2 linked regions of the Styela clava genome follow. The protein of the gene in region 1 interacts with the protein of each later gene in a pairwise test. Links are inferred from orthologs where the notes say so. Each region holds a gene or a part of one and is shown in the gene's direction. Other genes may lie near its edges. The genes, in order: ubiquitin conjugation factor E4 B-like and E3 ubiquitin-protein ligase CHIP-like.

Region 1 (11,247 bases):
TTTTCATCGGTGGCAAAATTTTTTATTTTTGTATTTCAGGTGTATGTAGACAACAGTGGAAAATATAGCGATAATTCTCCTCCACCCTGTGGTTATCTCAAAGCAAGTTCAAATTTATCTTGTGTCAACTTATTTGTAATGCCATATAATTATCCGGTTCTTCTCCCTTTGATAAGTAAGTATAGATTATAAATTTTTCAGATTATTTTTCATGTGAAAATTGGTAATTTTATTCCTGACCAATTAGCAGGATTGGTTAACAGCAACATTTGGGGTGGATTGAAGCAATTATCAAATTTCTAAGAAATGTAGATTGTAATGTAATGACCCTATTCACTGTGTTTCTTAGCACTGGCTTGGTGTTGTAGGGTGGTCATTGATATTCCAGTTTACTGGCCAAGATGTAGCCTATTTAATTATTTAGTGTCTGCCAATGGTGAACAGAATCATACAGTTTTAAATAATAGTTATGTAATTAACCCTGCTGTCAGATAAATAGCCTAGATCTATTTAACATATGTCTAAAATGTTGAGGTCAAATCATCGAAGGTCTAATCGGTTCGGTTTACTGAAGTGAAAAGATTCTTCCAATGTTTTATTTGAGTATGTAAAATCGACTGCAATTTTTTTTTTAAATACAGCAAATAAATTTGAGAAGGAATATAGTCATCATAAGTCCAGGGATTTCTTATGATAAATGGTTCGTTTTTTCTTCTCTGAATAATGTAGGTAAATTTGTATCAATTTTATTTTCTAGATAAGTTGATAAAAAACAAGATGAAAATGATTCCGAGCTTGAGAGTGGAACTTGAAGATTACCTAAAAATGTTACCAAGTTATTATATTGGTGTAAGTAAATTATATTCGAATTAGAAATTCTTGTGTGGTAGGTGTTTAAGGTTGTTGTATGTAATGTCAATTTCCTCCGTGTGTGGTAAAAATAACAATCATAGCAGATGTTTTTTTTTCAAGAGAAAAACGTGTAAAACTCATAAAGAGTGATTCTGAAATTTCTCGTGAAAATTAATATGATATAATAAATGGGTAGTACCAAGATGTTGTATATTCAAGTACTTGATATACACTTGTAAATAAGTTTATTTTTCATACTTTCAGCTTAAGTATGTCATTCACAGTTTTGAATATTTATCTTTAGGCTGTAAGAAAAGCAATGCGGCAACTTGGAGTTCCAAATCTTGTTCCAGATTCTCTTGAAGTTGGTCTTAGTCATTCTGTACTTTCATATTTCAAAAAATTGAAGCAACAGGCCAAGGTAAAAACTAAATTTTATTAGTTATTTCAAGCTATTCTATCAAAATGATATTATTTAACAATAAATGTTCATTTTATTACTTTATACCATTGTGTCTTGTTTACAGGCAAGTGCTGATAGAATAATGAATTCAGTGGGACACATACCTCCTTACGTCAACAAAGGAATCAGCATTTCTGGTCGATACAACACACTTTCTGTGACACAACTTCCCAATTTTAATCAAATTCTCGCTTCTGTAACTGAAAACGCATCCTTGATGCCAAAGGTAATGGTTTGCATTGATATTTTGATACCATTCAAGTCTCAGAGACAGATAAGTGATCCTTATCACGCGATGGAGTCAAAATGGAAAGACTCATTTAATCCAATAGCTTTTTTTACTCAATTATTGTACAGTAGGATCTGCATACTATCCACTGTATGTCTTCAAAATGCAAGATGTAGTTGCCGATTAAATATAGTTTTTTACAATAGAATAAGCTAGCATTAAATACAACATGCATTTGGTTATGTGATACATATACATAGAAGTCTTGTTACATGCCCCCCTGCTCTTTTACTACAGGTTGACTTGAATGAATTTCCCAATTTTCACATCGGGGTAAATTCGGGGGATGGTATGAAAGGAAGGCGGATGTATCATAATGCTTTTGATGTTCCAAGATCTCAACTTTTGAATCAAGTTCGGAAAATGAAAGTGAATTTCCACAGAGTTTTATCATCAAATCAGTTAACAAGAATAAGACTTCAAGACAAAGGTACCTTTTTAATAAAACCCCTTAGATCGGGTTTTACTAGTAGATATCATGGAATGCAGAGATTGGTTAACTACCCATCATTCATTTCATATTTTTTTTATATGATATCAAGAGTTGATTTTAAATCCTGTGAGGGGGAAATGTGAGAGAGGACAGCTGGACTCATTAGTGCCGTAGGGTGGTTAACATAGCCACTGATCGGTTGCGAATTTCTCCCCCATCATGCAGATGAAAAATACCTGGTCAACTATTCCCATTTCCCACTTGCTAACTGGTAACCAGACGAGAGACTATGGTTCAACATATGCTTAGGCCATTTGATCTATTTCCTCTAAAATTAAATAAATACCCTATCTGGTATTATACGGTTTGCTGAAACTTTTACATCTTGCTTTAGCTGAATTGCACAATCAACCAATTTCAACAATGGGAAACTACCAAGAATATTTGAAGAAATTTCCCCAACCACTTAGGGAACTTGATCCAGACACACCTAAACGACTTCACACATTTGGAAATCCATTCAAACTGGCAAAAGAAAAGGTAAATGTAACGTTTTGGCGGTTTTCTAGAAGAATTTCTAACAGGTTTGAGTAATGGTCCTTGGTATTACTAGTTTATCTTCAATGTACAGCATAAAATTAATTTAATGACCTGGGAAGTCTGGGCTGGTATAAAAGTTTTGTCATTTATAATCTGAATATTGGTAGTTAATTGGATTTTCCATCCTGTAGGGCATGATGATTGATGAAACAGAAGATTATGATGCACCATCATCTGGTAATAAATCAGGTAGATCAGGCGATGCCGGAAAAAGAAACAGGAGAAAGCGATCAGCTAGTCCAATGCGACCCGGTACACCACCTGTGTTTAAGAAGAGTCATTTATCCACACCTGGTTTCGTCAACAATCAAACCAACCCTGCTGCTGTGGTTACCAACCATCAGACTACTGATAATCATAATTCTTTACCTCATGCTTTTTTAAATGGAGAAACTCGTCCTCCCAATGGTGCTTTAGAACTGACTGAACCATCTGCAATTAAAACGACTCCTTCTGATATTGCAGCCAAGCTGCAAGCATTGAAATCTAATTTAAAGCATAATATGTCGGAAATGATAGAACTGGAGCCAAAATTGAAGCATTCAGACTTACTCAATGGTAAAGGATCTGATAATATGTCACTAAGTGATTCAATGGGTTTAACAAATGACAGTGTATGGAAAACTATGCATAGAAAACACAAACAGAAAAAACCCAAATCTAATAAAGCAACTGCAGAAATTGAAAACGCAAACTCTAGCATCAAGGATACAGTAATTAAGTTTGTCAGAAAACCAGGAAAAAGTAAGTACACATAAAATAAGAACTTCCACTGTTAATTGGACTGATTACTGTAACTGATGCTAAGCTTATCTTTTATGGGTATGGTATTTTCTATCAAGGCTATCACTGGACTTCATCATTACTGTAACTGAAGATATGCTTATGGGATTTTCTATCAAGGCTATCACTTGAGAGATTAAATGAGTTTTATGCAAATAGTTGAAATGTAACTTCCTCGAGTGAATCCCATCACTAAATCATTGATTTGATTTTAGTAATTCCGTTATGATGACATTAGTACAGCCACCTTCCTCATTTGATGGATTAAATTCACTTCTTATTGCAGTTACCATTTCATCAGCATTTGCATATTTTGAATTGTCCAACATTTTTTTTTATCTGTAGATGACATCAATATTTTCAACGAGCTTCAAAAATTAAAAGGTCCTAAGTCAAGTTGGCATCCAGTGTTGTGTTCTGTGATCAAAGAAGCACATCGTTTTAAAAAAGATAACTTAATTCAGCACTTGAAAAAATTTGAAGTAGGTAGTAAAGGTTATAATATAAGATGAGAAATAATATTATTTTTATTAATCAAGATTAAAACAAAATATACAATGCAATGTGTTAATGATGACTTTGTTATGAAATAAGGTCATGATGCTAATGACTGGCATATAATGTTATTTCACCTTGCATGTCTATATGTATAATGTATATGGTAATGTATGCCCATTGTAATGCAATCTAAATGGCGGTATATAGAGCCTGTATTCACATCAGTTTGGAAGTTGCCTCATACTAAATTTATTTTGAAAAGCAAACTAATGTGATTAATTTACTGTGTGATATCAAATTTTAATATTATTTGCCCACAACATTGCTATCTGGTGCCATTAATTTTTTCTCAAAGCTGAATATTATTGTTGCACAGGAAACATTAGAGAAACATTTGGCTTCATCACCGCAACCGCACAAAGTTGATAGATGACAGAATAAAAATTATGCTGTGGAGCACAATAAAGACAAAGGATGATGGTGATCATTTCGTGTGATATTGGCGGATGCTGAAGTGACAGAATTGCTGACTTTATGAAGTATCAGTGTTTGCTGGAAGGTTGAGGCGCTGAGAAATAAAAGTAAACACCTGTTGAATTGACCTGTTCTGTGGTGCTTTCATCTCAGTTTAAAATTCTTCTAATGTTCAGTTTCAATAAGATGAAAACATTTTATATTGTTCCAGATCATAGGTGTTGTTGCAATTCTAACTATCCTCGGATAATAATGGATTATCCTTTATCCTCTTTAGATATACAATACTGATATTTCCTGATCTTCAGTTTGATCATATTTGGTCTTTCTTATATTAACACAATTTTTTCAATTTGTCTTTGTATTCTTCTGCAGGATTTTTGTTTCTAAGTGAATTTTTTTATATGTCCAATTTAAGTTTCCACACACCAAGCTGACTGTTGTTATCATGTGATATTGCTCTGTTTTGAGCTGTTTGTTCCAAAATGTGAGAAATGCACCAGTGGTCTATTTTTGCTTGAATTCGGGTAGGTATGGAGAGTGGTCTTGAAATTGAAAGCTGATATGGTTATTTTAAAGCTGGTGCAGATAGATTTATCATTGCATGTAGAACAGTTTTCACATCAGGTCCAAAGATAAAAAAATAATTAGAAATTGTATCTGTGAAGCGATGCGAAGGGTCGGCGACCTATCCAAGAAACTATGCACTAGAAGGAATCCATACACTGATAAATTGTTTGGGCAGAATATTGCCCTTTGAGCATGGAAATGGCTAGGAGACTTTGAAATACTGGGTGATAAATCATCTGGTTCAGCATCCACATTTTCCACTCTCACAGGATAACTCCGTCTGACCAATGACAACATATATTCAGAAATCTTGATATATACAGTATATATTGGGAATATATATTCTCATTGGGCTGACTTTGATAGAAGTGAAAAGAGATTATATTGGGATAAGTTTCAACCATCGTTATTTCTTCGTTCAAATAATGATTCTTATCCTTGAGGTAATATCATACTTAACCCGTAAATTAGAGCAACAACGAGTTGATAGAGATTCATTATATTCATTTATCTGGCGGCCCCACGACTGAGGGAAATGTGTGTATGTGTCACTTCTGGCGGATTCGCCTGATGATGACTCAGCTGTTTGTCAGCATTTTCTTTCTTTCCAGTCGTTCGCCCATGTTGTTGTTGCTATGCATTTACAGAATTTTGCAATTGTCACTCTGCCACAGAATGTGTACAGCGCAGTCGATATGTTTAGTTGAGCTTGACAGACAGACAGAAGGAATGGTTCCACCAAGAGACCAAAGCTACGAGGTTAGGTAGACACATACAGGCATCTGGACACGTCTGCATGTTCAGATGTTGCAGTGTTCAGTGACTGTCTGAAAGTTGGCCCGGAAGGTCATTGTCTTAAGCTACGGTAAGTTAGGTCAGTAAGTACAATACGGTTGTAAGGTCTGAAGGTAGGTGTTATCTGGTTATAGCACAGTGCTGCAGTGATATAAGGAAATAATGAATATGGTATGGTAGGTAATGCAATGCCTGAATTCAGCAATAATTCATCTATCAGTCTATTTTGAAAATGTCTCACTTCATACTGTTATCCATGTTTGTTGGTAATTTAAACTAAACGGAGTTTCAATCAATCAATTTCATTTCGATCACTCTGAAAGAAACAAAACAACAACAAACTGACAAACAAAATGCAGAGGATGATGGGCATAACTTACAAAAAAAGTTTAAAACGTACAAGTACAGAAGTACATGCCCCTCCATCAAAAACAGTCAAAAGAACACTATAAAAGTCTATAACAGCTTCTCCTGTTCTCTGTCATGTTCGAAATGCGCTGCTCAAAGTCACCTGTCTAACAATTTTGAAAACAGTTGGTACAGTGGTAGCATGAAAGTCTAATTACTGAATTGAGGCCAGCTAAATGCTTGACCATATTAATAAACTTTATGCTGTCACCACTGTCAGACTGTAGACAATTTTTGCTTTGAACACAGCTTAAGTCTGTAAGATTTTTTTTGTTATCTCTTGACATCTTTGATAGACATATTCCTGTATTCATCTTTCATTTTCTCCAAAAATGATATCATTTTTTCCATTACAGTATCTCTTTATTACTATTGCTGTATTGTGACATAAATTTCTTCATAAGTACAAGACTCATGAGAGGCTACAAATTATTGTTTTATACAACGGTTGGTGGTATTGTGTATTACACTATGTACTGGAGCATTATGAAAGATTCCAGTCAAATAAAGATAAAGAAAAATATGAAGTATACAAATCCTGATGACAAAGGTACTCAAGAATTGAATCAAAAGTTTATGAAAGTTCTCAAAGATGCAGCAGCACTTGATGAAAATATTGTTTATCGAGATTTTAATAGAAAAAATAAATAAAAGGTTGTTTCTATTCACTAACTGAAGAAAGAAGTTATTGTTGTTTTCATCCAGGAAAAGTTTTTTTTTCCAATGGGAAGCAAAAAGTAATCCATGTTACAGACTCATGGTAGGTTAGCGGTGGCACAACAGTACCGCATATATCAGGCCAATCATCAGGAAAACAATTCAGACCAGTGGTTCTCAAACGTTCATAATCGATGGTCCCCTTCCTGAGACTTTCAATAATTGTGGCTTCTTACTCTTTTATAAAAATACATGCTTTTTCTTTAGGTTATGTGTCATATTTAATAATAAAAAAGCCAACGAAATAAAAATTCATCATCATTCAGTCATTACAGTCAAATTATGTTAAATTAATGTAGTCATGCCGCAGTCGGGGGTCCAGTTGTACAAAACTGATAGCAATCCATGGTCATTGGTTTGGTGTGTGATAAAGTGAGGTATGGAACAAAGGTAACAAATGTGTCAATAAGTTCAAATTTTGCCCATAAGGCCAAAAGCAAATGTCTAAACCTGGTTGTTGGATTTTGAGAGTGTTATGTATGACTTTTCTTTTGGAATAAGGCATCCATCCAATGTTTTTTGTCGGTCATCGTGGACTAGACTCCATTACGACTCACTTACAGTAGAAAAGAATCTGATGATTTTTGTCATACTGATAAAATATGATAAGTTTTGTCACTCCTATTATTAGTGTTCCAGATCAAAGATTCAAAATACCGGTATTGAATATAGTTCAACATCACACATCTGGGTTGTCTTTTGTCTTATAACGACTCCATGTCTGAGATGTACTTATGCTTATTGTACTAAACTTATATTTACTTGTGCTTTTGATGGTTTATTAATTAACCTAATTTGTGTTCAACATTATTATGTTTTTAGATAAATTAAGAATAATTATTCTAGACAAAATTAATTTTTGTATGATTCACTTGGGTCGGCTGTTACACAAATACCTACCACTGAAATGAGTGAAAACACAATCACTCAAGATGAGGTAAGAATTGAATAAAATTACGGTATGCTTTTACCGTACATGGTAAACAGTTTGGTTATATTTTTTTTGTAATAAAATAAAAATGTCCTATAGGATATATTTCACAACGAAAGGACTTGGGCCATGGTATAGTTGTACAAGTTGATAACTGGGAGTATTTCTTCATGTGACATGGAATATTAAGATAAGAATTATAGACCTATTGCTATAATGATTAAATCATATTTCTGGGCATCATTTACATATAATTTTAATATTGGATTTCTTTACTTGTTGAGTAAGCGATTTTCAGTTTGTTTGCATTTTTTACCGACATTTTTGATGCAGATGCGAAGACGCCGGCTTGCACGCTTAGGCGGAGATACTAGCTCCCCACAGTCAACTCCAGTAGATAAAGAAAGCAAAAAAGGTTCATAAATATTTTCTAATTTGCATATTGTTATACAACGAAATCTGACTCCCAAAAAGTGTACAGAAGTACCTTTACATTCATGCATATATCAGAGTTGTGAGCATATACATTGCAATATGGTTGTGCTAACATGTACATGCGTTTGAGCAAGATTGGAAGCATAAAAAATGGTTATTTGTGAATCATAATTTTAAAATATATTTGAAAAGTGTTTCTTTTCTTTCATTCTCTCAAAATTCCTGGTTTGTTTCTACCGCTTTCTTTCCAAACAACACACTTTTTATTTCTGCTCAGCAGTTTACCGAGATAAAAATCACTGGAATTGAGCATGATCTTTCTGTATGCATAAGTTTTTTGAAGTGTCTAATCGAGTTTATATCTATATATAACCCACCGTTTTCCTTTCATCTAATCCTTGCGAAGACTGTCTTTTTATGTCTCAAGCAAAGTAATCAATACCATACCAATACATGCTTATTGGCTGGAGCCGCTTCATTGATTTGTCACTGATCATATCTAAATTCATGCTTTATTGAACATTATTTGACAGGAAACTCTAAATCTCTAGATACTTCACCAGAATTTTCAAGTCCAAGATATAAAGTAGCGAGATCTTCAGCAACAAGTGTGAGTTTTTATTCAAGTCATTGTTGAATAAGTATCAGTATTCAACTGAAATTGAAAAACTTTGAATTTAAATTTTTTATGTTTTATGAGGTTGATATCTTGAAGTTGTATGTTAGGTTTAGGAAAGTGATTCCATATTGAAGCCATTATCACGATTTTGAGCAACAAATACGACATGCATTTGGCTTGGAAAGTAAGATGAATGGATGGATGGTTTTATTCAGAGACAATTTCCCATTGACAAATTGTTTTTATGGCGATATGACCTGGCTATCACTTTGGCTATAGATGGCTAATTTCTGCAATAAAATTTTGATATGCACTATAAATTGAATCAAGATTTCACTGAATATGGCAAACAAAAGATTTATTATTTGATATTCCAAAGCATGTATTTTGAATAAAATAAAATCTGATGTTTCTGATACTGACAATAATTTTATTTTTGCAGTCATTGGCAAGTGATAGCAGTAGCATACCACATTCTCAAGCAGAAGATGATGATATTTTGTCTCCAAATCCAAAGCGCCCTCTGGAAGTTTTAACTGGTGCTATAAGTTCTAGGTAATATATACAAATGAATTTTTTGCTAACAGTTATGCTGTCAAACTCAGACAATTATATTCAGACATTAGTCTATATAAAAGGGATCATTTTAGATAGTGTTTGACACACATAACGGAGCAAATATATTTTCACATATACGACTAGACACATTTCTGCTGTTAATTTTTTAATATGCAACTTACTTGCTATGATGGTACTAATAACGTAGGGGCCTACTATAATGTACTATGTGTACAATTGTCATGATCAGTCATCTGTGAAAATACTAGTTGCCAGAAATACAATAAAAATACAGTTACACTGCATTCCTTCACGAAGAGAAAATATGATTCTTTAATCATGTTGAGTCAAAGTTATGACAGAAAAGCCATCAAAATGTATGAAAAAGCGAATCCACTTTTTGGAGAATTCATGAAATCGCTGCCTGTTATCATCTGTGACTAGAATTAAGAAACAAAAAATAAATTTAGCGCAGGGATGTTCAAAATGAAATAAATAATCATCAATAATATTTAAATGTAGCATATCAATGGATGTGGATTCTGGTATTGCTTCATTGAATGATTATGTTGACAATATGATATCAACTCAGACTGATGATATGGTGAGTTTTCTGTTTTGTTTGGAAATCAAAAAAACTCTGCAATGTAATTTGTTTTTATCTTATATGACAGTCTTCAATCAAAACTATGTAAAAAATACATTCGGTGTCTTATGATTGGCAAAAAATATGGTTAAGAAGAATCAATATGCTTATCTGTTGAGATGCCAATCCTGGTTTCTTTTTTGGTATACTCAAATTGGTAAAAGGAATTCTATACAGGAATGTTCATTGGGGGTAGGAATAAAAGAAAAAGAACTACTTTAATGTCGGCTAAATATTTTTTGCTCCCATAATATATTATTACCATGTCCATGCATCTGAAACAAATAACTGCTTCAATAATAGACTGGTAACCGAGCTATGTTTCACCCAGAGCTGTGTCAAGAGTTTATTATGTTTTCACTGGAGTCAAGAGTCGATGTCGTATTTTCAAACTCACTGGAGTTAAGTCAAAATTCTGATTTCCTCGGAGTCGAAGTTTGATTTTCAGACTTTTGATGATGTTAAAAAGTCTGGACTTTTCAAAGAAACTCAAAGCATTAAGTTTATATCATTTTTATCAGAATTTGGAATCACGACTTGAAATTGGGTACAACCCAGTATCAGGGTCAACATTTTTTTAATCTGGAGTTGATGGCAATTTTCTCTAGACTCCTGATCCATGGTTTTACCATATTATTAATAAGCCATCTTTTCGGCTGGAAAAAATCCTATCAATGGTTTAAATTTCCTATTTTCGAAAATGTGTGTTTGTCTTGTATTGATACAGGTCCTCATCAAAGATATCCCTAAAATCCAATTGATAGCAGACATATTACAAAAAGTATCTGGAATATCTGAAGATGATATTAAAGCATTACATTTAAATCTTGAGGAAGACGAAAAAGAAGGTAAAATTAGATTTGAATCTATCCATTTTTGTGGTGCTTGTTTCCTCTTCCTCAGACACACATTTGTATAGATATAGTACTGGTTAATGTGAATCTTTTTTGGGAATGGTTAACCATTTTACACGCTAAAGTTTTTTCTAAATACTAAACTGCAATGCTATAATTTTGATATACTTAGATTATGTTCAATCAACAATATATGATATACAACTCTGCCTTGTTGTTGATTAATCTAATTGTATCTATCTGGCAGAATTCACTAGTGTGTATATAATAAAAACTGGGATTATCTGAATTTCTTGATAAATACTGATATTGTTCCTCTAAT
Region 2 (10,812 bases), on another chromosome or scaffold:
CCTGATCTTTACACCAATGAAGAACAGCGTAAGTTGGTGAAAGTAGAGTGTCAATCAGCATTCTCGCCAACACACAGATGCGCAGGGCCAGCTCAATTTCCACTAAGCTTTCTTGAGAAATCGATGAACGACATTGCCTCAGAAAATTTGAAAAAGAATCGAGCATCGTACCGGGAAATCATCAGCGTTTTAACAAATCCAGACACATCTCAAGATTTCAGCTACTCTGCTGTTCACTTAATAACGGTAGTTCAAGCATTACTGAAAAAAGCACAGTCATCAGATAATGACAAAGCGCTTTTTGAAAATGGAGCAAAGCTTTTCTATAACCTTGCAGATCTGAATTCTGATGAAAGATGGAAGTGCCCCCCGACGAGGCATTTACTAATAACCTGTATTGATATGTTAGGGCAAGTCTTCATCTATGGACAACCAGATCAGGCTGTTACCCTTTTAGAACAGATGCTGAAACGCCCGGAGACAGCTGCATTACTTTCAGCGCATTTTTCGCCAGCAAAATCATGTTCTAGAGTCAAAAATGAGGGCAGTTTACACACTGAATTTGATACTAAAGTTTTTGTCGACATGTATAAACGTGTAGTAAATGCTGCATCAACTAGTAACTCATCTGACATTCTTTTTGTACTTATCACAAAATTTGATTTGGAAAATTGGTGTGACGCGTATATGCCGCCGAAATCAGAGAAAGTCACTTTGTTAGATGCCATAATAAACGGTCTAGTGTCGCACACTACGTTTTCATGGCCTCCTGAAGATTCTACTGAAGAAACTACGCTCACAAGGTCCCAGTCTACGCAGTTATCGAACTCCGCAGTTCAAGAAGTGTTTATGACTCATTTAAGCATTTTAGTTCAGCATTCACAGGACCAAGTCTTCTTTGAGGCTATCAATTCACTTTTAAAAGCCAGTTATAAAGGCAATGTGGATCCAATGACTTGGGAAGTTTTAACCGATGCGGCATTCAATCCACAGCAATCAAATGTGCAAAATTCTGCCAAAAATGAATCAAAATGTGGACTTTCCTATGAAATTGTTGATACAGCAATAAAACAGTTAGCTGTGTATTTTTCAGAGGAAAGAAAAACAACAAAATCAGGATTGTACACTACATGGAAACCATATGTTCATCCTCTAACAAAATTATTCCACAAATTAATCGATTTCGAAATCAATTACAACGAATCAAAACAGGGTATAAACGGCACTACCTATTTCAGCCACCATGCCTGCTTAGTGGACCGAATTTTGCCGCTCTTTTCCGCATGGCTAGATCCGCTGAAAATGGAAGAAAAAATGCAATGGCCATGGAAACCTGACGACCAAGAAACTGTGTCGTCTATCCTAACAGTATTCGCGACTCTTATCAATTCGATCTGTAGTGAAAAAGCAATGGATGTGTCTCAAAGTGTGTCTTCATTATGGGAATTTTATCTTAACAATTCTCTTTTAGCTCATGAGAAGACATCACCAAGTTACATATGCGGTTCTTATCAAACCACGCTCAGCGCTTTACCTTGGAATAAATTTATTCCAAATTTAACAGACTTAGACAAAATGGTCCAACTTTGTAACACTAGAATTGATTGTTCTCTTCATTTCCTATGCCATGTTGTACCACAAATTGACTGGTCAGCTATCATGAAAATGTGTTTTATTTCGAGCCCTGAAAATGCTACACATCAGTGGTCAGAACACACATCTGAAGTATTATGCTACTTGTTACATGTCTTGTATGTTCTGAGCTCAAATGAAGCAAGATTACACTCTTACCCCAAATTGCAACATTTATTGACTTCTATCGATGTTTTTCCTTGGCATTTGATTGGCTATGACCAGTTTGATTTTATTGCCAATATAATTGCGGACCAATTTCACGCATTCTGTACAATTTTCGACTGTGAAGACCAGAAATTACAATCACCACGATATGCTGCTTTGAGACTACTACAAATCGCTTCAGGGTTGCCAGTTTTGGAAAAAGATTTTGACTGGAAAAAGGTAATGGAAAACTGCAATTCAAAAGAGACTGTTGATATTACGTGGATGAAAAGACAATCCTTTATTCGGTGTGTAGGGACACTAGTTCGAAACTCAGCCAAGACACAAAATAAGCGTGAAATTCAAACTCTAGAAGCTGTGACATCAAATTTAGTTATGAAACTAATGAGAAGTATTTTGCTTGTCGTACAATTTGACTCTGGCATTGACGAAACTAGACTTTCCTCTCTTTATTCCGAAATTTGGAGAAGCATGAATACATTTACTTCGAAATTACAGGAAATCACAAGATCACAGATTTTAAGTTTCCTTAATGAAGTTGTTTTATCGACGCTTGATTTGTCAATGGACACACAATCTCTACAAACTGTCGACTTGGTTTTGACAAGCATTCTATCTTCGGCAGCAAACACAATTTCAAGTCCTCTGCATTTAGCTGTAGTGGCTGAATACGGGCTTGATTCATGTTTGAAATTGATTTCTAAGTATCACCCAGAAGTGAACGACGAAGTGGATAAAACCACATCCGACGATAGGCTCCCAAAAGTTTTGAACTTGTGGCAGAATCTTTGCCACACCCTAAGTCAAGTTTGTAAAGTCTCCCAGAGTGAGCTTATAGAAGCATGTCTATCAAATGGGTGCATTAATACTATACTTGCATTATCGCAAAATATAGTCGATGAAGCGAAACGTTGCGGCAATGGAAATGACTCTAATGGCCCAATGTATAGTGCTTTTTTCTCTATTGTACAATGGATCTCGTCTTTGATTCCGAAAAGCGATAATGAAGCCAAATTGTTGCTTTTAATTGGATATGCATTGAAAGTTTGTGATACGTTGGAACAGGACGCTAAACTCTCCCCAGAATCTGAAGTTAATCTTAGCTCAGTTTCCGAGAGTTTTCATTCACTTCTTCCCGTGTTAGAGCACTGGAGTACTGACCGTGTTAAGACAGGCATACTCGGAACTTTTGGAATCGGACGTGCTACTTCATTATCAATTGGATTTCGAGTCTCTATTCGTTGCATCTCAGTTCATATTCAACAGATAACAGCACGACTACGGCCCGAAGGAGAGGATACTCTTACCAAAGCTCAAGTAGCCATTGATAGTCTACGGAAAATGCCTCTTGAAAATCGGACGTACACTCAAGAAATTGACAGAATCCATGAACTATTAGACCTAATACAACAGATTAGTGATAAGCCTACATGTGCTGCCCATTTGTCTTTGATGAAAAATATTTTTGCTTTCCATTATCAAAAGGAGGCTGATTGGTTGAATGTTCTATAATTGTAATTTCAAAAATGTTTTTTCATATCCAAAAATGTTGGTATTCATGTATCCTTTTCACAAAGTTAGTTACCGGTATATCTTAGCTGGGGAGCCTGGGAAAATTTATGCCCAACAAGATCTCGACCTATTAGGTTCCTATCAGAAATTTAGACTTTATACACTGCCATTGGGAGTTTAAAGCTAGGAGTCCACACAGTATTCAAAAATGGAACTGCTGAATTAATTTTATTACCAATAAAAAACACTCAGACTCTGCAGACTCGTTTCTAGAATTCTAAATAACTTGTTCATCAACCTTCAGTTTTTTAGGCCTGAACCGTAGCCAGGCGAGGTTTTATTTCAAAGTTCTTTCATAATATCATTATAATTAAACTACCTATTCTGTTTGTATTATCGTAACCACAAATCACAGCCAACTTTTGGGGCCAATTTGGGGTGTAAGGTTGATTATTTCTCCTTGTTTATTTTGCAATATTTGTCTGTAAATTTGTCATTATACTATGCTCTAATTATATGTGTATTTTAAATTTTGAGATCCTATTTCTGTCAGCATAGTTCCAAAAGAATCCCTATTGAACTGTACTGGTACTACAATAATTTGATCTACAGTATATTGTAATTCATTTGTGTATGTCCTTAAAACTTTTAATTTTCATTTGCAGATGGGGATTCCCAAATTTATTATTAGGTCATGGAGCTCATGTCTTAATATTTTCAACTCTTCGATAGAAATTTTGATGGCTAATAGAATAAAATGCCATAGTAGTTAATCATATTACGAGCCTTTTACCAGTATGGAAACACCAACAATCTTTAGTTTCAGATGCATGAACTTGGCTATCTGTACCTTGCCTGGTACGGTCTGAGAAAGTACCTGAGTAGGGTGTGGAAATAGTCGACCAGTTAGTTTGAGCTTCCGGCCCAGTAACCAAGTATATTACCAGTAACTGGCCCACTAGGAAAATTAATTGCCCACTCCTGAGTTAATTGGTTCAGCTGCATGGACTTGAGATTCCTTGGTACAATTTGCACAGTTCAAGCAAGTACCTAAAATAAGCTGATGCCAAAATTACCAAAAATACTGTATTGTTTACCGTATTTCAAACTTCATTAGTTGATCTCCTAACCGAATCTTCTTAATAGATTTCACATTAATAAATCCTATTTTTGCTGAATTTGACATCCAAAATGTCTTTTTGAAATCCGATTTTAAAAAGTGTTCATTGTAGCTTTTCGTACTTCTTTTTATTATTACTTTTGTCAATAAGTATTCTACTTTTTGTTGCTGATGTATTATTCTCAGAGTATTGATGGATGGTGGAGTGAATTTTTGACCAATTCCGATTTTATTATTTGTTATATATGAGCCATGAATGTCCATAGAACTAAGGGATGCTTTGATAAGGATCTTTGCCCCAAAACCCAAGCGCTTTGTAAACACAATTCAAACATGCTGTCAATTTCCTTTTCAACCCAAATTTTGTATTGCACAAAGGAATCCAATTTTTTGAAAATGAACCAACCTTTATATGGTAACTACTTGCAGGGGCCTATCCAAAAATTGAAAATTTGATAAGGGGGGGGGGGTTCTAAAATTTCTAATTGCTAAGTTAGAGCCATAACAGCTAGCAAGTCTGGCCTGAAAACGTAGTTTTTTAGGGGTTTTGAGGGTCTAAAAAGCGTTTCAAGCTACGAAAAATTAATGTGGGAGGGGTTGGTCCCGATCTTTGACCCCTCCCTGGCTCCTAGCGTATCTGTGAATGCTTGCTCATTTCTTTATTCAGGGTGAAGACGTTGTACAGTTGAGCCTAACTGTAGTTGTGAATTAATGAGTTCAGTGAATTGTACCTGCCCTCCAAAAATTTACTACCACCGATTTCCCTATTAGTGTTAACAGATATCTTTCATCACAGGAATCGATATTTTTATTATAAATCCTTCTGTTATTATCCATCTCATTGTGTTTAGTTATTTGGGTACTTTTTTACATTTCAAAAAGAGGGGCGCCCTGGGTCATTTTCCACATCAGGTGATATCACATTGCTTATTATTTTGTATTGTTACATAGAAATGGTCTGTTCTTATTATTTGTTTATTTTATTGACAATCTGCATGCATGCTGTTCATTTTATTGCTTAAATATTCTGTATGATTTTGGTGATGATCACAGCATTTAGGGGACATGATAGGTGCTTGTTCGTCTTTTAAAATACTGGTATACTATTATCTTTTGACTTTCTCTTTTTATTTGTGCTCAATGTTAAATTTATTATCAGCTCAAAAGTGAATTCTCTCAGCAGTAACAAACCAGTTATATAAAAGTAATGCTCTACCGGCTTGCATCTCTTAATGTCGAAAATTTGAAATTCATTGGTTCATAAGTTGCTGAAAAAAACATTTTAATTTAGCTAAACAATTCATATTAGTGTTATGGTCCCTGTGTCATGGTCTTACTCTTGCAAAATTTATCATTTCTTGTTCGTAACTTCGCTTAAAAATTGATCTTCTTCATTTTTGAGAGAGTATGGTATGTGCTTCTCATTTCCTCAACCATTATTATTTTTGCATAATGTTGATAGCAAATAATAAATAGTCCAAATATTGCCAGTATTAATGAATAAATGGCTTCTTAACTATATGCTATAGTCTAACTTAGGGTGTGAAACCTTTAGTGCATGAGGGCCAGATGCAAATAACTGGATGAAACTGCGGGCAGCACATTAATTTAACATAGGCTTTCTAGTAGTTGCATACGCATAAATTTTGATTATTGATTTTGTGACATGTGCTGTCCACTTAGGCTAGCTGTTAAGGCATTGCAACCCCATGGGCAGATTGAGCTAAATTAAACACTCGTTTCGTGGGCCGCACAATTTTTCATTGAGGGCCGCCGCTTGCACACCCCTCGTCTCTAACTGGCTTAATTAGCTGCATTAAAACATGTTTTCTTTTTTTTTGTCACCTGTTATTTTGGTAATGAAGACCGTGCTTATTGGGTATTTATGATTTTTTGGAAGCAAATATTATATTTTTGTTTGTGCTTTTTATCTATGCTTGTTTCAACACTGCAATATTGAAATTGTAAAATGAATATTATTAATTTTATTGTAAAGTTATATATTATTTATGTTGTTTTATTAATGTGATCTTGTCTTTTTAATTTAGAAAATAATCAAAATGACTGCCATGCAGTATAAGTTAGAAGGTAATCGTATGTTTGCACAAAAAAAATATGAAGAAGCGATAAAATGCTACACGAAGGCAATAAATAAGACTTCTAATAATGCTGTTTTCTTCACAAATCGGGCTCTGTGCAACATAAAGCTACAAAAATGGGAAGCCGTCGTTGACGACTGCAAAACTGCCCTTGATTATGACCCCCAATCCGTCAAGGGTCACTTCTTTCTTGGACATGCTACTGCAGAGCTTGAAAATTTTGATGAATCTATCTCAGAGTTACAGAAAGCACATACACTCGCAAAACAACAAAAATTAAATTTTGGTGATGATATTGCAGCGATGCTACGAAACGCGAAGAAAAAACGCTGGGATAAATTAGAAAAGGAACGTATTTCACAGGAAATTGAACTACAAACTTATCTCACTAATTTAATGGTTGAAGACGAAAAACGTGAGATAACCAAATTGGACGAAAACGACTCCACAAGCGATACAGACCGAAAAAATGTAGAAAAAAAATTCGAGGAACGTCGAACTGAACTAAATAACTTATTTGCACAAGTAGATGATCGTAGGAAAACACGTGAAGTTCCAGATTTCCTATGCGGAAAAATTAGTTTCGAAATTATGAAGGATCCTGTTATTACGCCGAGTGGAATAACTTACGATCGCAAAGATCTCGAAGAACATCTGCAAAGGGTCGGACATTTTGATCCCGTTACCAGACAAAAACTAACTGCTAGTGAATTGATTCCTAATCTGGCTATACACGAAGTGATCGAGAAATTTATTGGAGAGAATGGTTGGGCTGAAGATTACTAAGATGTGATTTTAATTTAAACGCTTTCTTGTGAAATCATATAAGAGGGTTGGAACTTTTTCTCTAAACCAGGGGTGTGTGGCCCGCGGCCCACAAGGAGAAATTATACGGCCCGCTGAGAAGTGCCAATTTTGAATGATGTTCGGCCCGCAGAACAAGTTTTTTAATTAAGTTTAAAATGGTACGCTCAAGTTATTTCTATCCATTTGCGTTGCAAAGCCTGGACCCAAATCCTATACCTGAGCTTGTGCAATGCGAGCAACGCATGTCATAAGATTGATAACCAAAATTTTTGGGCCCTCAAATACTAGAAAGCCTATGTTAAATAAAGATGCGACTCATGGTTTCACCAGTTATTTGTATCTGGCCCTTCTGTTTCAAAGGTTGCCTACATCTGCTCTAAACAAAGCCCTGGACAAGCAGGTTACTGATACGTAAGGGTATGCTATGATTTTGAAAAGACAGATTTGACAATGTCGGCGTGATGCGGTGGACAGGGGGTTTTAAACCTGGTATCTTCAATCTTTGACTGGTCCAATGTGCCTACCATTGCATTGCTTGACCATGCAGCTCGAACACGAATCTGATGTGCCAACCATCATATGCGAGATGGGCATTTTTTTAGGGATTTCCAGAAAGTCTTCCTAGCCTGTTTGCTGAGCACTTCGTTGTTGTGGTTGGGTTTAGAGAACCTCTTTATGATAGCCTAACTTCACCTTTCATCCAAAAGAGTGTATTATGATGTCACTTTCACTTCTTTTGCTCCTCTCTTTATCAAAACTCTAAATAGGCTTGTGATCTTAGCACTTCAATACTTAAATTTTTTTCAAGTGTATTTTTGTACATATAGATTTTTTTACACAGTATTCTTTCTTTTTGTGTGAAACATTCATTTTTTTGTTTGGGTGACATAATTTTGTTCTTTTATCTTCATCTAGGACGGGTTCCCTAGTTTTTGTCAGGACGGCCCCAAAAACAACTTTCAAGTGTCCAGTGCGACCCCAGGTCAATATATATAAACTTCTTTCACTGGACTTTTGAGTTTGGTCATGTGATGGTATTAAGTAAAAAAATAAGGTAAAACCAAACAGTGATGTCACAATAAGCACTTTATATTTTCTATAGCACAAGCAGAGAGCCATGCTTATGGGCCTGTTTACAGTAAGCCATGGTACAAACTGCTAAATTTAACATGGTTTGTCAAATCTTAGTCGACTGTACATCCATCCTCTACCATACCTAAGCGACTCCATGACCTGTTTGCGACCTTGCCTACTTATCACTCCGACCCACTTTGGGGTCGTGACCCCTGGTTTGGGAATCCCTGATCTAGGACCTAAGTTTTTTCATTTCTCGCCCCTTTGCCTCCGAGTATGGGCGAATTACCTACCGGTTGCTTGGAGCAAATAGAAAAAATGTAACATGAAGTTAAGAAGTTGCTTGGTGTTGCTTTCTGGAGAATCATTTTTATGTAACAGTATATCATTTTTATAAATTTGTTGTGGGCTTCGTAAATAATAGTCAATTTCTTCACAAACTCCATAACATAAAAGGTTGGAGAACCCCCGCTCTAGATCAATGCTTCATCCATCCTGTATTTCAATAAACGGAGCACTGGTTGCTCGTGACATATTTTTTTTATTTCAAACTCTCTTTTTTTTGCCACACGGTTCACTATATTTATATCATTTTTTATTGCCTTGTATTTGTTAAGCTGTTTTATTATTTTGGTAGTTGCTAAAAAGCAGTGGTTCCCAAACCTTGGCCTGCCAGCAGTTTGACATGGCCCACCGAATGTAAGTAAAATAGTTCACTACACTATGTTTTTTTCTTTTTGCGCTTCAGATACCGCCCCTTGCGGGCGCTCACCTGGCCCACGAATATCCTTCCGCTTCTGATTTTGGCCTCCTGTCAATCAACTTTGGAAATCACTGCTATAAAGGGACATAAGCCCAGTTTATGAGATAAGTGGACCAGAGGGTAAGCCACCAAGTCTCAGGTGGGACCTGCTCCTCATAACACGTATGGAACCTAGAATCTACAAACCAAATTAACACCATAAATACCACTGGAATGATGAACAGGGGGACCATGAGTGCTGAAAGCCATAAAAAGGTTGGGAAACACTGCTCTACAGTAATTGCCTTCCAAATTCGTAGTAGCCTGCAACATTACCTTTAGTGGATTTCACTTTTTTGTTACTACTCGTGAAATGATTTGGATAGTGGTTTTTGACATTGCATTTTTTGTGATTTTGCACTTTATTAAATACTCATGTCAACCTTTTTGCATGTGTTGCTTTCTGCTTACTTCTGAAATTCCTAGTCTTCCATGTGTACAAATACAGGATGTTCATAAAAAATTCTCAAATTGCAAAAAGAATCTACCGATACCATATATTGTTTGGGCCCCTACATAACAAATCTGGTTAAGCTATATTGAGAATTGACTTCATAACAAAATTAAAATTGTGAATGGACTTTATGGACACCCTGTATATCAGAATAAAATGAGCAATGTAACAATACTATCACAATGATTTGCATTTTGATTGTCTTTTATTAAGTTGTTCCAAGTTCAATCTTTAAGGACTTCTATATTAAGTCCAAATTTAAGAAAATATCCATGCCGCTGCGTTACCTCCAATTTCTTTTGTGTACATTTACAAGTGCTTCAACCAAGATTTCATTTTGTGTGTATTTTAAATATTGTTTCTTTATTTGCTAGAATATAAAATATCTGAGTGACAGTGTGTTTTTTATGTTTGTTTAATTTACCCTTGCTATCTCAAATACTGATGGTAAATGATACAAACCATATTCTTTTAGTTTTATCAAATTTTATCAGAAGTAAAGAAACTGAGATAAGATGTTATCAAATAGGATGTGCCTGTCGTCATTGACATTTTTGAAACAAAACAAATTAAAACTGAACACAAGACTGATATCAGACTTTGTGAAAATAGTGGAAGTTGGACCACGAGATGGTCTTCAAAATGAACCAAATATTGTTCCTACAGAGACGAAAATAAAGCTTATTAACGAGCTCTCAGAAACAGGACTTTCGGTTGTCGAAGCAACAAGTTTTGTGTCGCCAAAATGGGTCCCACAAATGGCTGACCACAATGAAGTCATGAGGGGTATCGCGAAAAAGAATGGAGTGAATTACCCAGTTCTGACCCCTAATTTGAAGGGGTTTCAATCAGCAATAATCGCAGGAGCTGAAGAGGTCGCAATTTTTGGTGCAGCATCGGAGGCGTTCAGTCAAAAAAATATAAACTGCTCTATTGAAGAAAGTCTGGGAAGATTCAAATCTGTATTGGAAGCAGTGAAAAATCAAAATGTGCCAGTGAGAGGATATGTGTCTTGTGTATTAGGCTGCCCTTACCAAGGAAAAGTACCCACTGGGGAGGTGGTAAAAGTGGCCCTAAAAATGATCGAAATGGGATGCTATGAAATATCTCTTGGTGATACAATCGGTGTTGGTACAGCAATAAA

The links.
Region 2: the proteins of ubiquitin conjugation factor E4 B-like (region 1) and E3 ubiquitin-protein ligase CHIP-like interact in a two-hybrid assay, tested with the Caenorhabditis elegans proteins (2 studies listed by BioGRID). The link is inferred for Styela clava from reciprocal best matches to the Caenorhabditis elegans genes ufd-2 and chn-1.

Annotation. Positions count from the first base shown.
Region 1 is NC_135256.1:17,027,711-17,038,957, reverse strand, and holds the start of ubiquitin conjugation factor E4 B-like, read left to right. Parts: upstream 1-6,260; 5' UTR 6,261-7,789; coding exon 7,790-7,819; intron 7,820-8,146; coding exon 8,147-8,228; intron 8,229-8,781; coding exon 8,782-8,858; intron 8,859-9,309; coding exon 9,310-9,422; intron 9,423-9,947; coding exon 9,948-10,029; intron 10,030-10,798; coding exon 10,799-10,919; intron 10,920-11,247. Other genes in the region: integrator complex subunit 6-B-like, read left to right, coding at 40-175, 758-849, 1,157-1,273, 1,380-1,541, 1,842-2,034, 2,432-2,577, 2,769-3,381, 3,766-3,902 and 1 more. UniProt on the Caenorhabditis elegans protein: Acts as an E4 ubiquitin ligase mediating the assembly of polyubiquitin chains on substrates ubiquitinated by another E3 ubiquitin ligase. The elongation of preexisting ubiquitin chains preferentially targets ubiquitin 'Lys-29' and 'Lys-48' residues.
Region 2 is NC_135250.1:2,573,779-2,584,590, forward strand, and holds E3 ubiquitin-protein ligase CHIP-like, read left to right. Parts: upstream 1-6,486; 5' UTR 6,487-6,492; coding exon 6,493-7,317; 3' UTR 7,318-10,143; downstream 10,144-10,812. Other genes in the region: ectopic P granules protein 5 homolog, read left to right, coding at 1-3,312; hydroxymethylglutaryl-CoA lyase, mitochondrial-like, read left to right, coding at 10,184-10,812.